Neodiprion lecontei: one gene and its partner. The protein of the gene in region 2 interacts with the protein of the main gene of each other region in a pairwise test. Links are inferred from orthologs where the notes say so. Each region holds a gene or a part of one and is shown on either strand. Other genes may lie near its edges.

Region 1 (8,199 bases), on a different chromosome or scaffold from region 2:
GCAGTTTATTTTGTACAATTATACTCCGACATTGATTTGGGGGGTCTGCGCAATCATTTATGTATAAAAATATAAAGTAGTAGTGAAAATTTTCATCTCCGTAATTAGAAATATTGAAGCTTTTTGTTTCTGAAGATTAGTATTTGTATTCATCGTACTCCTTTTAAGACGTAATTAACCACTACGTATGTACAGTTGCTTAAATTTAAACAAGTCAATTGAGATACCTTACAAGGATAACGTACAGATACTGATCTATTGTAATAGTCCTTCATTTTCTTCCAACTCTTAATTTATAATTATTATAGAACCCCCTTTTTCGAATCCTTGGAACAGAAATGTTGGCCTGCTTGAACTTGTTAAAATTTAAATAATAATCTGAGGTAGCACGCTTATTGTACTTTTGAAATAAATGACCTTACTAAGTGCCAGTATTCTGTGTCCTCAGAAAGCACAATCATATTAAGTTCCAGCTTTGAAAATGCATGATGTGTACGTATATATCTTATTAAGGTGGGATCACATATAATTAATTTCATCCGCACTTAAAAGTTCAATAGTTATTCGTTTTGTGCTTAGAAATATCATTCAATGATCACAAAAGTTTCTTCCACTTTCTTGGTTTTTCTTTTTATCAACTTCTACCTACTACTTTTCTCACTTTTCGACACATAAAAAAAAGCTTATAGAAAAATACTATAGACCTATCCATAAAAAATAATACATAATTAAAATTAACAACAGGCTGTCTGGATACCTAGCTAGCAGTAATTATAAAAAGTGTCTTCAAAAAAGTTGAGAGACATTAAAATTTCTTGCATTGAATGTGGCGTCGCTTACTCGTCCGTTGGATGATAATATGGTTAATCATTAGCTTAATTATTTTAATCAGTACTAGATTGAGTTATGAAACTATCGTGATTGCGGAGTAACCAGCATAAAACCAACTTTTTCATGGGCGTAAGCTAAGTTCTTTGCTAGTCCAGAAGTGCAACCATGTTGTTGAATCGTTTGGAATCTGAAAGTTCGGAAGTTTTTCTCACTATCAATGTATGTGACGGCAGCCATCAAAGGACACATTATGATCTTGGTGTGGTCTAAGAAGTTTATCTGAAAAAAAAGTAGTTGACATATATATTTATGCAACACTGGCCAGTCACAATGTTCATACGAACTTCACAATTTTTTCACATTGTACAAACAGATGGATGTCAGAGATGAAAAAGAAAAACTGTGCGAGTTATAATTACTTGTACAGATCCATTAGTCAGCTGCATAACTACAGCACTTTGCGTTCTAAACCACTGATGCATGTAGGGAATCCTGGACATTGAATCACTTTGCTTAACAGCCACCGATCCCCCAGCTTTCATTAGATGTTCATTCATGTAACGTTGAAAATAGTTCAACAGCTTCATCTTCTTGTCCAGGTGACCCGGATAGTCCTTAACTGTATGGTATTCTTCTGATCCTTCACGATTTATGTAATGAACATTGAAACCGTTCGCAAGCATTATCAGACGTGTTCCGTCGTTGTACATCACACCAACTCCTTCGTCAGATAATTGGTATCCAAAACCATATTTGTCTGAGTAGTCCACCCATTTACTGATCCAAACAAATGGTTGTGCATCTGGATCTGTCATCTCATCTAAAGTAGTTGAAGAAAGAAAGGAACAAAGAAAAAAACACCACGTCATTGGAGTTCACGTTGAAAAATCTAGTATCGTACACATCAATATACAATGTGTGCTTAACAATGGAAGACAGAGATGAGTTGTTGAACCATCGATGACGACGAAAAAAAAATTTCACGTTGAAAAGTTACTCATTCAACTTCAGAAAACACCAAAATAAGGCGAAATGCACTCTAAATACGTCAAATTTAGTAGGTGTGAACCTTAAGAGAGAGACTGCTTATAGTACAACAGCAATAAGTTCAAGAGCAATGGAATTTTGTTCACCTTAAATAGGTATTGACAGAAAGAATACACAATTGTATCAAATAATTTCTCTGTTAACAGCAATTCATTCACAGGGAAACAGTGCACATCAATATTGTTACTGTCATGCATTTAACTGACCAACATTTTTATCACTGGTTGATAATAGAACAGGTAATAAATAAGAGTCAAAGTATTTATACAGACTCAAATAAAGCAATTCCAGATAACAAGTATGGTGATGTTTTGTGAAAATAATTTACATGTACATCTACTTTGTTTTCAATCAAAAAGTCAGATACACTCAACAATCTGCTGTAATAGAGATACTTCTGCATGAATTTCAGATATATGTTGATTAAAAATGAATAAAGGTAATTCAAACGAGCAAAGTTTCTAGTCATGCTACGAAAATTTGATGATTGACCAGGACAATTTTCACTGATTATTTTTACTTAGAATGTTGGTGACCTGTTTCAAAGTAAAACAATTCAGTTGTAATGATTGTAGTCTTAAATATTGGAAATAAGTAGATATAATAGGGTGGCGACAATTTTGCTCAAATAAAACTCTCTGACTTTTCCCATCAGAAAATTCAGAATTCTTTGAAGTTTTCCCACAAAACTTAAGTAATATTGGGCAGCTTTTATGACCAAAATCTCGCGAAATTGCGCACCTTGAATATATAAATTTGGATCTAAAAAACAAATAGTATTGCTTTGTTTCACACAAAATAATTAGAGATTAAACAATACCATTTCTGAAAGTTAGATTAACTGAATTTACGAAGCATAGCTGAAGACTGAAAACGAATTATAAAAAAAAAGTATGTTTTTTCCCTACAATCCATCATAATTCCCTGACTTTTCCCGATAGACGACTTTTCCGGATAGACGAAATTTCCTGACTATTCCTGGATTTCTTAGTCTGTCGCCACCCTGTTATAGGTCCTCAATTTGCAGCAATAGAAGCATTGATTACTGAACAAAAACACATTGTATATTAATATTATACACGGATTGGAAGAACCATGCCTGATGTTTCCAGGGTAATCTGATAGGATCTTGGCCGTTCTGTATTGGAAATATACAGTATCAATTAGTGAAATTAAAACTGGTTGTTAGTAGTGTAATATTTGTGGCTGGAATAGTATGTGAATTTACTACTTTTCGTGTGGCGTCATATATGTCTATGTACCTCCAAAAGCGATGAGGTCCACGGCAGGCTTAGTTTTGAGTACAGTTGCTAATTGTTCTTTTAGTGTGAGTAACATCTTCTTTATATCGAGACCCAATTTTTTTTCTTCACTCATTTCGATACCTTTACCCTTGAGAGCAGGACTTTGCGGAACTCTGAATAGGACATCATTTATATCTCCACATCCATTTCCATTCATTTCAGTTAACGGCTTACGCTGATTGTGCATTTCCAATGCATCCATACGAGGTGCCATTGTGAGGCAAGATATTGGAAGACTTGTTGGCAAGAATCCTATGAATTTGGTAAATAATAACGAATTTAATTTCTTGACTTTCAGACAACTCATTTGTACACTTAAATCGTACGGTACCATTCACTTTTAAGAAATTGGTTATTTCTGTACGAAGCAGCTGTTTATGCTTCTAATTTATGAATTTTAACCTGAGAAAGTAAATATTTAATACCAGATGTGAAGAATACATCTTTGATCAGTTTGTTAACACTGGGCCGTTTAGTGGGATTCCCTTGAAGCATGTTGGCAATCATATTCATTGCAGCTTTGCTCAGAAAAGCTGGAGTTTTGTATTGCACTTGTTTTATCCTAGCATATGTTTCCCTGAGGCTTGATGTTTCGAAAGGTGGTTTTCCCACAAGAAGAGTGTACATTATACATCCGATACTCCAGATGTCAACTTCATAGGAATGCCCAGATTTCATCAGAATTTCTGGAGCTATGTAATTTGGAGTTCCGCACAAAGTTCTATTTTCCGAAATTAAATCAAAGTAGTTTATTAACATTCGAAGACCAGCTACTTGGAATAAGTTTTAGATCAATTATGTCTCTAAATAAAGCTTGAAGTGGATAACATTAACATAACAAAGGTTTTTCTTAAGTACCTATTTTGGAACTTTAGGAATGAAAGAAATGAATTTTTCAATTATCACCATGTTAACATTACAAACTTGATCCCCATAAACGTATAATAATAATTGAATAAGGAGATTACTTTTTCCTTTCTCCATCATGTTCTAGTTTTGTAGCTAATCCGAAGTCACCTATTTTTACTTGTAATTCGTCGTCTAGGAAAAGGTTCCCTAGTTTCAGATCTCGATGTATTATTTTATTCTTGTGCAGATAGGCGACACCATCCAAGATCTGTTTCATGTAATAGCGTGTTTCACACTCTGTCAGAGCTTTCCTTCTTTTGTGCAACTCCATCATTGACTGAAAGAATAAATATAACGAATCAGATATATATCGCCATGGTATTCCAATTTGTATACTGGAGGAAAGTGTGTCTGATATTGTGCAAACAAGAAAATGGTGATTAGAAATCTTACATGAATGAAACGTATATTCCTTACATTTGAAAAAGTAATATGGCTTTCTCTGAAAAGATGCATAAAATATAAAAGGTTGATGTGAAATCTTTACCCTTTTACGACAAAGTTCCAATATGATATAAATATTTTGGATATCTTCAAAGAATCCATGAAACCCGACGATATGTCTGTGTGTGAGACTTTGATGAATATGTATTTCCTGCGTCATTTTGTCACGCTGATTGACTTTTGTCAGTATTGATTTGGGTACAATTTTTCCAGCAAATACATGATGAGACTTCGATTCCTTGATCTCGTAACATTTTGCAAATCCACCCTAGAAAAAATATAACATAGTACAGATTCGCCACAACATATTTTTTGTGATCATTCCTCATTATAAAATATAAAATTTTCATTCATAAGATTCATCTTAAACAATATTTTATCAATCAAATGATTCCTTAAAATATTAGCTGATACAAAGTTGTTTCACTAAATTCTGTTTTGCTTAAATGAAATTATTAGGAAGCCTAGAACTGAAGGTATATCAGAATTCACGAGGTAACTAATACGCTCTACTTTATTGTTAAAAGATATCTTTTGGGCAAATAATAATTCTATCTGACATTTGCGGGCATGTTATGTGAAATTAGCAAATAAATTTCGAATGGTAAGTTACTGCTAATGTAATGCTTGATGGGGTTTTGAATAAAGCAATGTTTTTTTGAAAAACATTACAAGGCTAAGAGCAACAAGTGTTTGGATATATCTAGGTGAAAGGCTGAAAGCTGTATGACAAATGACGTTTTGGACTTAATCCACCAGTAATAACATCAATTTCTCAGAGCATATATTTCCGGGCACAACAGAAATTCAACAATGGGCTTGATGGTGGCAGTGTTCAAAAATTTGACCTTGCAGAAGCCCGAATCAGGACTATTGACACTGCATGCAAAACGTAGTGTAATTAGTTGTAAGGAATAAAGAAAACATGAACGAAAGATTTAGATTGATGTGTAATACAGAGAAGAATGATTAATCGGAAAAGAAGAGAGTAATAACGATAAATCAGTTGTCCCGCAATACTGTTCGAAGGAATTAATGTGTTTGTGTCAGAATCTGATTGTTTGATCAATTCGCCTTCAATCTACTGATTCCCAGAAAGTTGAAATGGCTTTAGGATTGACTCATCTTTGGCTTCGCCCTCAAAGCCGGCGATCGAGGATTTTGCTATTTTTCGGCATGGGAAGGATGCAAGAGAGACAACACGTTGATTAATATTCGAGGAGACTCACCTTTCCGAAGAAACGACCCTTAATATAGCTCTTTCCCGTATTTCCATCGTGGATTATATCGGGAATAACGTTGTCTTTGTCATGTTTAGACATCTTTGTTGTTCCGGGTAATTCGAGCCACAGTCCAGTATAGGTATAAAACTTAGAAATCGGTTAAAATCACAGTTATAAGACACGTAGTAACACCGAAGGCCGCTTCTCTTGGTTACTCGCCCTCAACTGGCTGCTGTTTCGTGTTGAACGGGCAACGGATTCTAATGTTTGAATCCAGATGTTCCAGCCAATAGCGTACGTCCCACTTGTCACGTGACATCCGAATTTTCTGTTGTTGGTACGCTTCGCCATCGAGGCTTTACCCATGGGCAGCCTGTACAGTATTTTTCGATGAGCATTAATTAAACTTGATCAGTAAGAGCACTGAACAGTGCTCTTAGTGTATATCGGAACATATCCCAAGATCTTGGTCAAATTTTGTAGAGTTTCTTGCACTCTTTTGAAATATGCAGAGAAAGTTCAAGATTTTCGAAAACTGACGAAACGACGTTCGTTTTTCGAAAATTAGGGAAACCCAATTTTCGTGATTTTTATTGAAAATTTTACACGGTATGTGAGGTGATATAATTGATATATCCTATAAGTTTCATTGATGTTAAGACCGCTTCATATCGAGAAAAAATATTTCGTGCTTCACAGAAATTTGCCAATCTTTGTGCTGGTGTCGACTTTATGGGCATTATTGTGGGATGTATTCAGATTTTCTAATCCAAATAATATTACTCAAATTTGATACACTCATACCTGGAGGAATAAATGACCAGACATCGTATGATGTATGACATAGAAGACCACATATCAATTTGCTGGTAAAGACTAACAAAAAAAAAAAAACACAAAATACCGGTCAAAACATTCAAATCAGGGATTTATTGTAGTAAAAACAATATCGTGTAAATCCTAATTTCTAATCAAACAGCAGTTCGATCGTTTTTACAACTATAGTCTTGGATGCTTGGCCGTTCTGAATACTCAATACTATAGTTGTCCGAATATTCACTTACTTTCACGTTCCACACGTAACATTTTTGTATGCTTCATATCGGAAAAAAATAAATATCGTAAAAAATCCCTTTTGTATTTCTTTACTATTATTTCCTTTAAAGGACTAAAAGACGATACAGGTTGAATCTGATTGGCCAATAAATTCGGACCTAAGCACACTACTGGCAAAAATGTGCCACGCAACACGAAACTAACGGAACCGACCGTTTTAGTTAGATATTAAAAATGTATAATTACCCGCATCATCACGCGTTCTTAGCGGTTGTCATATATGCACCTAAATCGCAAAACGCTAGATATTTACCCAATCGTGTATTATATCGTCGAATTGACGGGACCAATAAAATGTTGAGTACAGTACCTTAAGCGGGTACCCTGGTCGATTTCGACATTGGCGAATGTATCTCCAAATATCAAAGTCCGCATATCTCAAACGTGAAGAAGGTAAAATGCTGAACAAAAACGATACAATACATTTTCAATTAATGCAGAAATAAAGAAATGGCATGAATTCTACGAATTTACTATTGCGATTTCTTAGAATCCATACCATTTCTTTATTTCTGCGTCAAATGAAATTATATCGGAGTGTGTTTGTTCAGAATTGCGTATAAAATGGGGCTGTTGGGCCCTTCTTTCGCGCTTGAGATACGTGATTTCGGTATTTGGAAATTTATACAAGAACGTCGTAATCAAGTAAACCACCCCCTTAAAGTTTTTTAAACACTGAATTGAAAATCAGAATTTCACCTAGTACAAGTATATTAATAATTTCGTAAAGGTTTCACACGATATCAAACTTCGGAAAATATTTACTGTATTTATTCGCGAGATGATGGGGACTGATTGTTTGAAGATCAAATCGAAACCCTAAATATCAATGATTCTTCATGAGACCACTATAAGTTCTTGTCACCTTATATTCATTTAATCAACCATTATTGCCTCTCAAGGGTGGAAATTCATATTATGGCAGTTCTATTTTCAGACAAAAAATGTTATCATACCGCAGATGAAAAATAATGTGAAGAGTTTTTTATTGGAATAATATATTGCATCCATTTTTTAACAAACAATACATTCAATTTTTCTGTAGCAATATTTTGCTTCAATTATATTTGCATAAATTAAAACAATCATAAAATGATGCAAAAATACGATAAACCGTAATGGGGATATAAACTATTGTGTAATTTTTACTTATTTATGAGGATAAAACCAATAATGATAATAATAACAACAACGATAATAATAATAATAATAATAATAATAATGGCAGTGGGCTTGTATATGTATGATAATTACTAAGTGGGATCATTTTAATTTTTGATCACATATCTTGGATATGTTTGTATGTATATATAATACATATATGT
Region 2 (5,160 bases):
ATTTTTAACGGTTTTCTTAGTATACGACTTACGCTGTGCACGAAATCAATTACCAAGGTAAACCAGCTGATTGATTTCACCTTAACTTCCTGGCACGCCTCGGCTTCGCCTATTCACAATTAACACCTCGCCGCCCACGCAATTACACGCGACACTAGATTTGGAAAATATGCAGTTTGTTTACCTTAGGTTATAGACACGAATTGGTCGCTGAGTTTAGTGTCGTACAGATTTAGCTGTATGACTGAACATTCAAAGAAACATTTATGTTATGTTATCGATTGGAATGAAATTTCGTATATTCGAACCTTAACAGACTGCAACGACGACTTCCAGTTACCAGACTGAAGTCTTGCTTTTTCTTAGGTCTGCAACGGCTAGCTCACTTTCTTGAAACCCAGTCGACTTCCCTATTTTTTCATAAATCTAGGAGATATCTGGATCGATGAGTTCCCTCGAGCAACGCCGTGAAAGCGCAGGACAAAGTTGTTATATTTTTCCAGCTTCACGGTGCCGGTGGATCCGGCGCGGCTAATGAATCAAATGAAATTACGGGCTAATTGCGAGGCGCGCAGTAGGAGTAGACCGAGCCATTACGCCCCTACCATAGACGATCATCTCGAGATAGGATGTGCGGGCGTCTCACGGACCGCATCTTCAGGGATTGCCTATCTTGATGTGGGACAAATTAGCCGACTGAACTGAACACCAACTATCAAGTATAACCGTAATTATCCCGTATTTATTCACACTGTGCGGTGGATGTGTACCGTAAGACCAGCTGTAAACGTTTTGTAAATACCAGCAAACGAATAACTTATCATTCTGCGGTGTTTATGAGATGCGGAATTCTATCTGGGTCGGGCAAGATTTTAAAACCAACTCTATCGATCTTAAACTGTACCGCCTGCATCTTCTTTCGGTTATGCGCATGCGATTGAACGCATAGAATCTTCTACAAGGCTATGCATGTATCCGAATTCCTGGTCAATTAAATCACTTGAAATTCATCTTCTCAATGGTAAAAGACGTAACGGTAAATTACCTGATAGCAAAATTGTGCGAATCGATGAAATGTACGACCATCGTCATTAGCGATTTATTTGGCACGTTCGCTTAACGGATTCCATTAATGTTTTGAATGATATTACCAATCGGTTTGTAACAGCTTCCATTTATCAATACGTTTTTTATATTCCTTGTTTATAAAGCTCGAAAATGTTCAACGTAATTCAGATATTATTCACGATACATTACGTTTCTGCAAAAAGTAGCTTTCCACCCAGTTGAGAATTCACAACTTTCGATAAACTAGATCGAATTCGGAACCATTGCTTCAACATTTTTTTTTCTATCAAACGATTGTTTCTGATTGTTTATAGAAAAGCCACGCCCAACAAATAATTACCTATATGCAGACGTACTTATGAAAGAAAAAAAAAAAAAAAAAACAATTTCATACGACTCATAAGTCTTTCTGCTTAATGAACAAAAACATTTTTATTCAATGAAATAAACGTTGTCTATAGGTAGAAATAAAGTCGTTTGTTTGGTCGCATAAGTACTCAACAAATTTAATTGAAACGATTTTATTCTTAATTACTTAAAAAATTACATTGTTGTCGCAATAAAACATTCTAACAGTTTGTTATTTATTAAAATTGCTTTTCTGATTGAAAAACATTGATAATTTATTTTCAAACAACCTCGATTAGCGTAAATCGCAGAGTCATTTTCACCTAATAATGTGTTTATCCATATTCTCGAAATAGGATGGGATATCGGCGTCCCATTAGCGCTCGCAGAGCAGTGACATCGGCACTGTAAAAGCCGAGAACAGCTTGGAGCAGCACGCGACTCTGCACATCTGACTGGTGGAAGCCGCAGCTGATGACGTAGAGTAAATTTTAGATTCACGGCCGACTTCTCACGTTTTTGCGCGGCCCTTTCATCGGCTTCTTCCAGCTAGGTATTCTCAGGTGCCGTTGCCTACATTCAGGCGAGATCACGATTTAGGCACGGTTTGATAATCATTTGAATTGAAAAGAAATTACGACGGATCTTTCACCGTGAAGCCCATTTGACATCCTCAAGCGAATAAAATCGCGCAGTGCGAATTCGTGTCGATTGCGATAAGAAGTGCAATTAATGACTGGGTTATAACAGCGCTGTTACCTCAATAATTCTATTACTCTAGTGATTATGTGCAGCAAAGTTGTGTCCTTGCGGCGCAATGAATTGAGATTAATCGTTTTATTCCTCTACCTGTCAGAAGATATAGGTATATAAAACAGTGCGACAAGGCGGTTAGATCCGAATGATTGTATCGTTGCACAATTACACCTCAAACTGTTAATTGAAAGGATCGAATCCGGCTTACGTAACATTTTACGACACTTAGATTTGCTGAATGAGAAAGGGAAAATCGGCTCTACTATCACCCAACGCTCCGTTCACTATATTCACACGTGAGTGGCTTGAAAAAAAAAAAAAAAACATTAATTCTAGACACAATTTGGGTTTCTGGAATGCGAATAAAAATTTCACCTGTGTATGTAGGGACAATTATTTTTCGTAATAAAAAAGAGAATTGTCATATTCCTCGAAGGACCGAAGATTGACTAATTGTACTCGATTCGTTAAAGACTCACCAGTCAAAGTGTTTAATATCCAAGTTGGTAAAGCGACATGTCGCTGCACTCTTCGACAGTGATAAACTCTTCGTACAATAAACGGTCGTACAAGTTTGCCAAAGTTTCGTTATACTTATACTTGTACGTATGTACGTATATTTACGTGTATGTATCGAATCTAAAACTTGATCACTGTTTAAGCACACGTGAAATTCACTTGTAACTGGGAATGCGGAAATCCACAACGAAAAATTCCGCCCGATTGGTATTTTCCAAATAGTTAATGTACCTCAAGCCACCCGGAATTCCAGCTCGGTCTCGATTGAAATACGGGAGTGAAACTAGACCCTGAGATGATCGAGGAAACGACACCAGCCAGCGATGAGCAGAATAATCCGCGACTCGTTCCTGGATCTGGTTTTTCCGCGAGGAGACAGCGCGACAGGTGCAGACGGTTCGATTGTCGGCGTCATACTAAACGCACGAAAGGCCGGAGGAACTGCGAACGACGGCGACAGAGCGGCATTCGAGAGTCGGAGGACTTCGGGTTCGGCGACGGGAACGGCCGCTCAGCGGAGGGAGCCAACAAACTGGCAGCATTGGCTGCCCGCCGGCCCCAACTCGAGTCTCGCCTGTCTCAGAGGACGCCCGGATCCCGTCGACTCTCCCTCCTGCGATCGTGGCCACGGTCCACGATACGTACGCTGGATGCTGGATGCTAGATAGGGACTGTGCCGTGCACTTCATGGCTTACCCCGAAGGACTCTGCGTTTCAATCGCCGGAATCTCCTGACTAACAATTAGGAAAATAGCTGAGATGTACCTTACCGATTTTCTTTTTCTTTTGGACATGTTGTTGTGCATCGTAAAATATTGGACAAGAATGTTTTTGCAGGTGCCAATTCGGCCGTTTAAAGGATGGGAATCACTCCTAACGTACACCCAGAAAATAATGAATGCGACCCTCGAATGGGAAACACTGTACTGTGCATATCGTTCTTTGTTGATGGTGAATAGTGTGCGATTGATTTTATTCCTAAATTCCTGAAAAATTGTTTGTTGGGTCCGAGCCTTGAGGGTGGTTTTTACACCTCAGAATTACCGAATCAGCAATTGAACGAAAAAACGTGTTTAAGTTTTGTGAATTAAGAAAATCCATGAGGTACACCTCGGGTGCTTTCCTTGTAGGTGCACATGGTGTCTGATGAGCCCCTTTTGCTGAATTCTTAGGGATAGTTGATGTATGATCATTGGTTTTCAGACAAATCGAATCTCAAGCTCTGAACACGAGTCAAAGTGTAATACTCTCTCGTTATAAGTCCGATTCTCTACTCGGAGTTAAAAACCCAGCGAAAGATGTGAAGAAGAAATCCCATCTCCAAGAGCCCCGAGACCAGTCTAATAACGCGAGAGGAGTGTAATCAGAGTGTTGAGAACCGGTTGGTCAGCTAGTCTCAACGTTAGCGGAACGCGCGCTACGAACGCGGTATAGCGAAGGACGGAAAAGGGAGGGAGAGGCAGAGAGAGAGAGAGAGAGGTGAAGATGTGAAGAGAAAGAGAAGAAGGAAGGACGACAGCTGTTTGAATGGGAAATAGATGCAGGCGGTTCACATGCGTGTATCGTACGTCGACGTACAGGGTGAGATTTGGATAGGGGGTGTCGATTTGGGGGTTGCCTGGCGCTTTAGGGTTGCCCCAACGTGGCGGAGCCGCACGGGAATTTGAAGAGGGTTGAAAAAGCGATCGAAGGAATGGCTTCACTCTTGTTTCGAGCATCACGAATTAGGGGAATAGCTGGAACGGATTTTACGGGAGGGGGGGTAAGATAAAGCACAAAGCTATCATGACGGGCGAAATAAAAGATGATCCAAGTGAAAATGCTACTTTCGGCAAGCTATTCGTACCTGACTCTGCTACCTGGTCCAAACCAATGCTGCGGGGCGATGGGCGCCCGGGAAAAAGGACTTCGCGGCTACTTTTAACCTCGGCACGAAACTGTTCAACGCTTCCTTTGAAACCATGACGGCAGGACGTGAGTCGACAAATGTCCTGGCCACGCCTCCCGGATAATCGTTGCCGGTCGGCGATGTTCGAGTTTTCGAAATTTTATCCTTCGATCCGAACTTGTTGAATAGAAAATATCTCTATAATCGGATACGCGTTTAAATCGCAATTTAAAAGCGATGAGTCAGTGCGAAAGCCATTTCCTGACGAGGGAAATAAGGTGAGAACCCTGATTTTTGTGATATTCTATGAATATTATTATTCTTACTGTTATAATTATACTCGTTGCTAGATAAAAGGAAAACTGAGTGCCTGATTGAACAATTTTCATGCTATAGAAACAGTTTTCCTAATTAAAATAAAGGTTGACATCATTTAGTGGCATAAAACCGACGGTGAACTCTACAAGATCTTCCGGTTTGAATTATCGTTTTATTTCTTACCTTAGCATACTTGATTTCCCACTTATCGAGCATGCTTTGATATACTCGAGTGCAGTGGTTCGATTACTAAAACAAACCGA

Evidence for each region.
Region 1: the proteins of uncharacterized protein LOC107226405 (region 2) and serine/threonine-protein kinase polo interact in a two-hybrid assay, tested with the Drosophila melanogaster proteins (2 studies listed by BioGRID). The link is inferred for Neodiprion lecontei from reciprocal best matches to the Drosophila melanogaster genes ko and polo.

Annotation. Positions count from the first base shown.
Region 1 is NC_060263.1:23,619,728-23,627,926, reverse strand, and holds serine/threonine-protein kinase polo, read right to left. Parts: upstream 6,009-8,199; 5' UTR 5,858-6,008; coding exon 5,765-5,857; intron 4,804-5,764; coding exon 4,579-4,803; intron 4,369-4,578; coding exon 4,151-4,368; intron 3,904-4,150; coding exon 3,608-3,903; intron 3,435-3,607; coding exon 3,141-3,434; intron 1,652-3,140; coding exon 1,251-1,651; intron 1,111-1,250; coding exon 913-1,110; 3' UTR 333-912; downstream 1-332. UniProt on the Drosophila melanogaster protein: May play a role in regulating both nuclear and cytoplasmic aspects of the mitotic cycle. Regulates localization of the augmin complex during mitosis by ensuring its location on mitotic spindles.
Region 2 is NC_060260.1:27,351,351-27,356,510, forward strand, and holds the start of uncharacterized protein LOC107226405, read right to left. Parts: upstream 3,219-5,160; 5' UTR 2,923-3,218; exon of another isoform or gene 2,652-2,922; intron 1-2,651.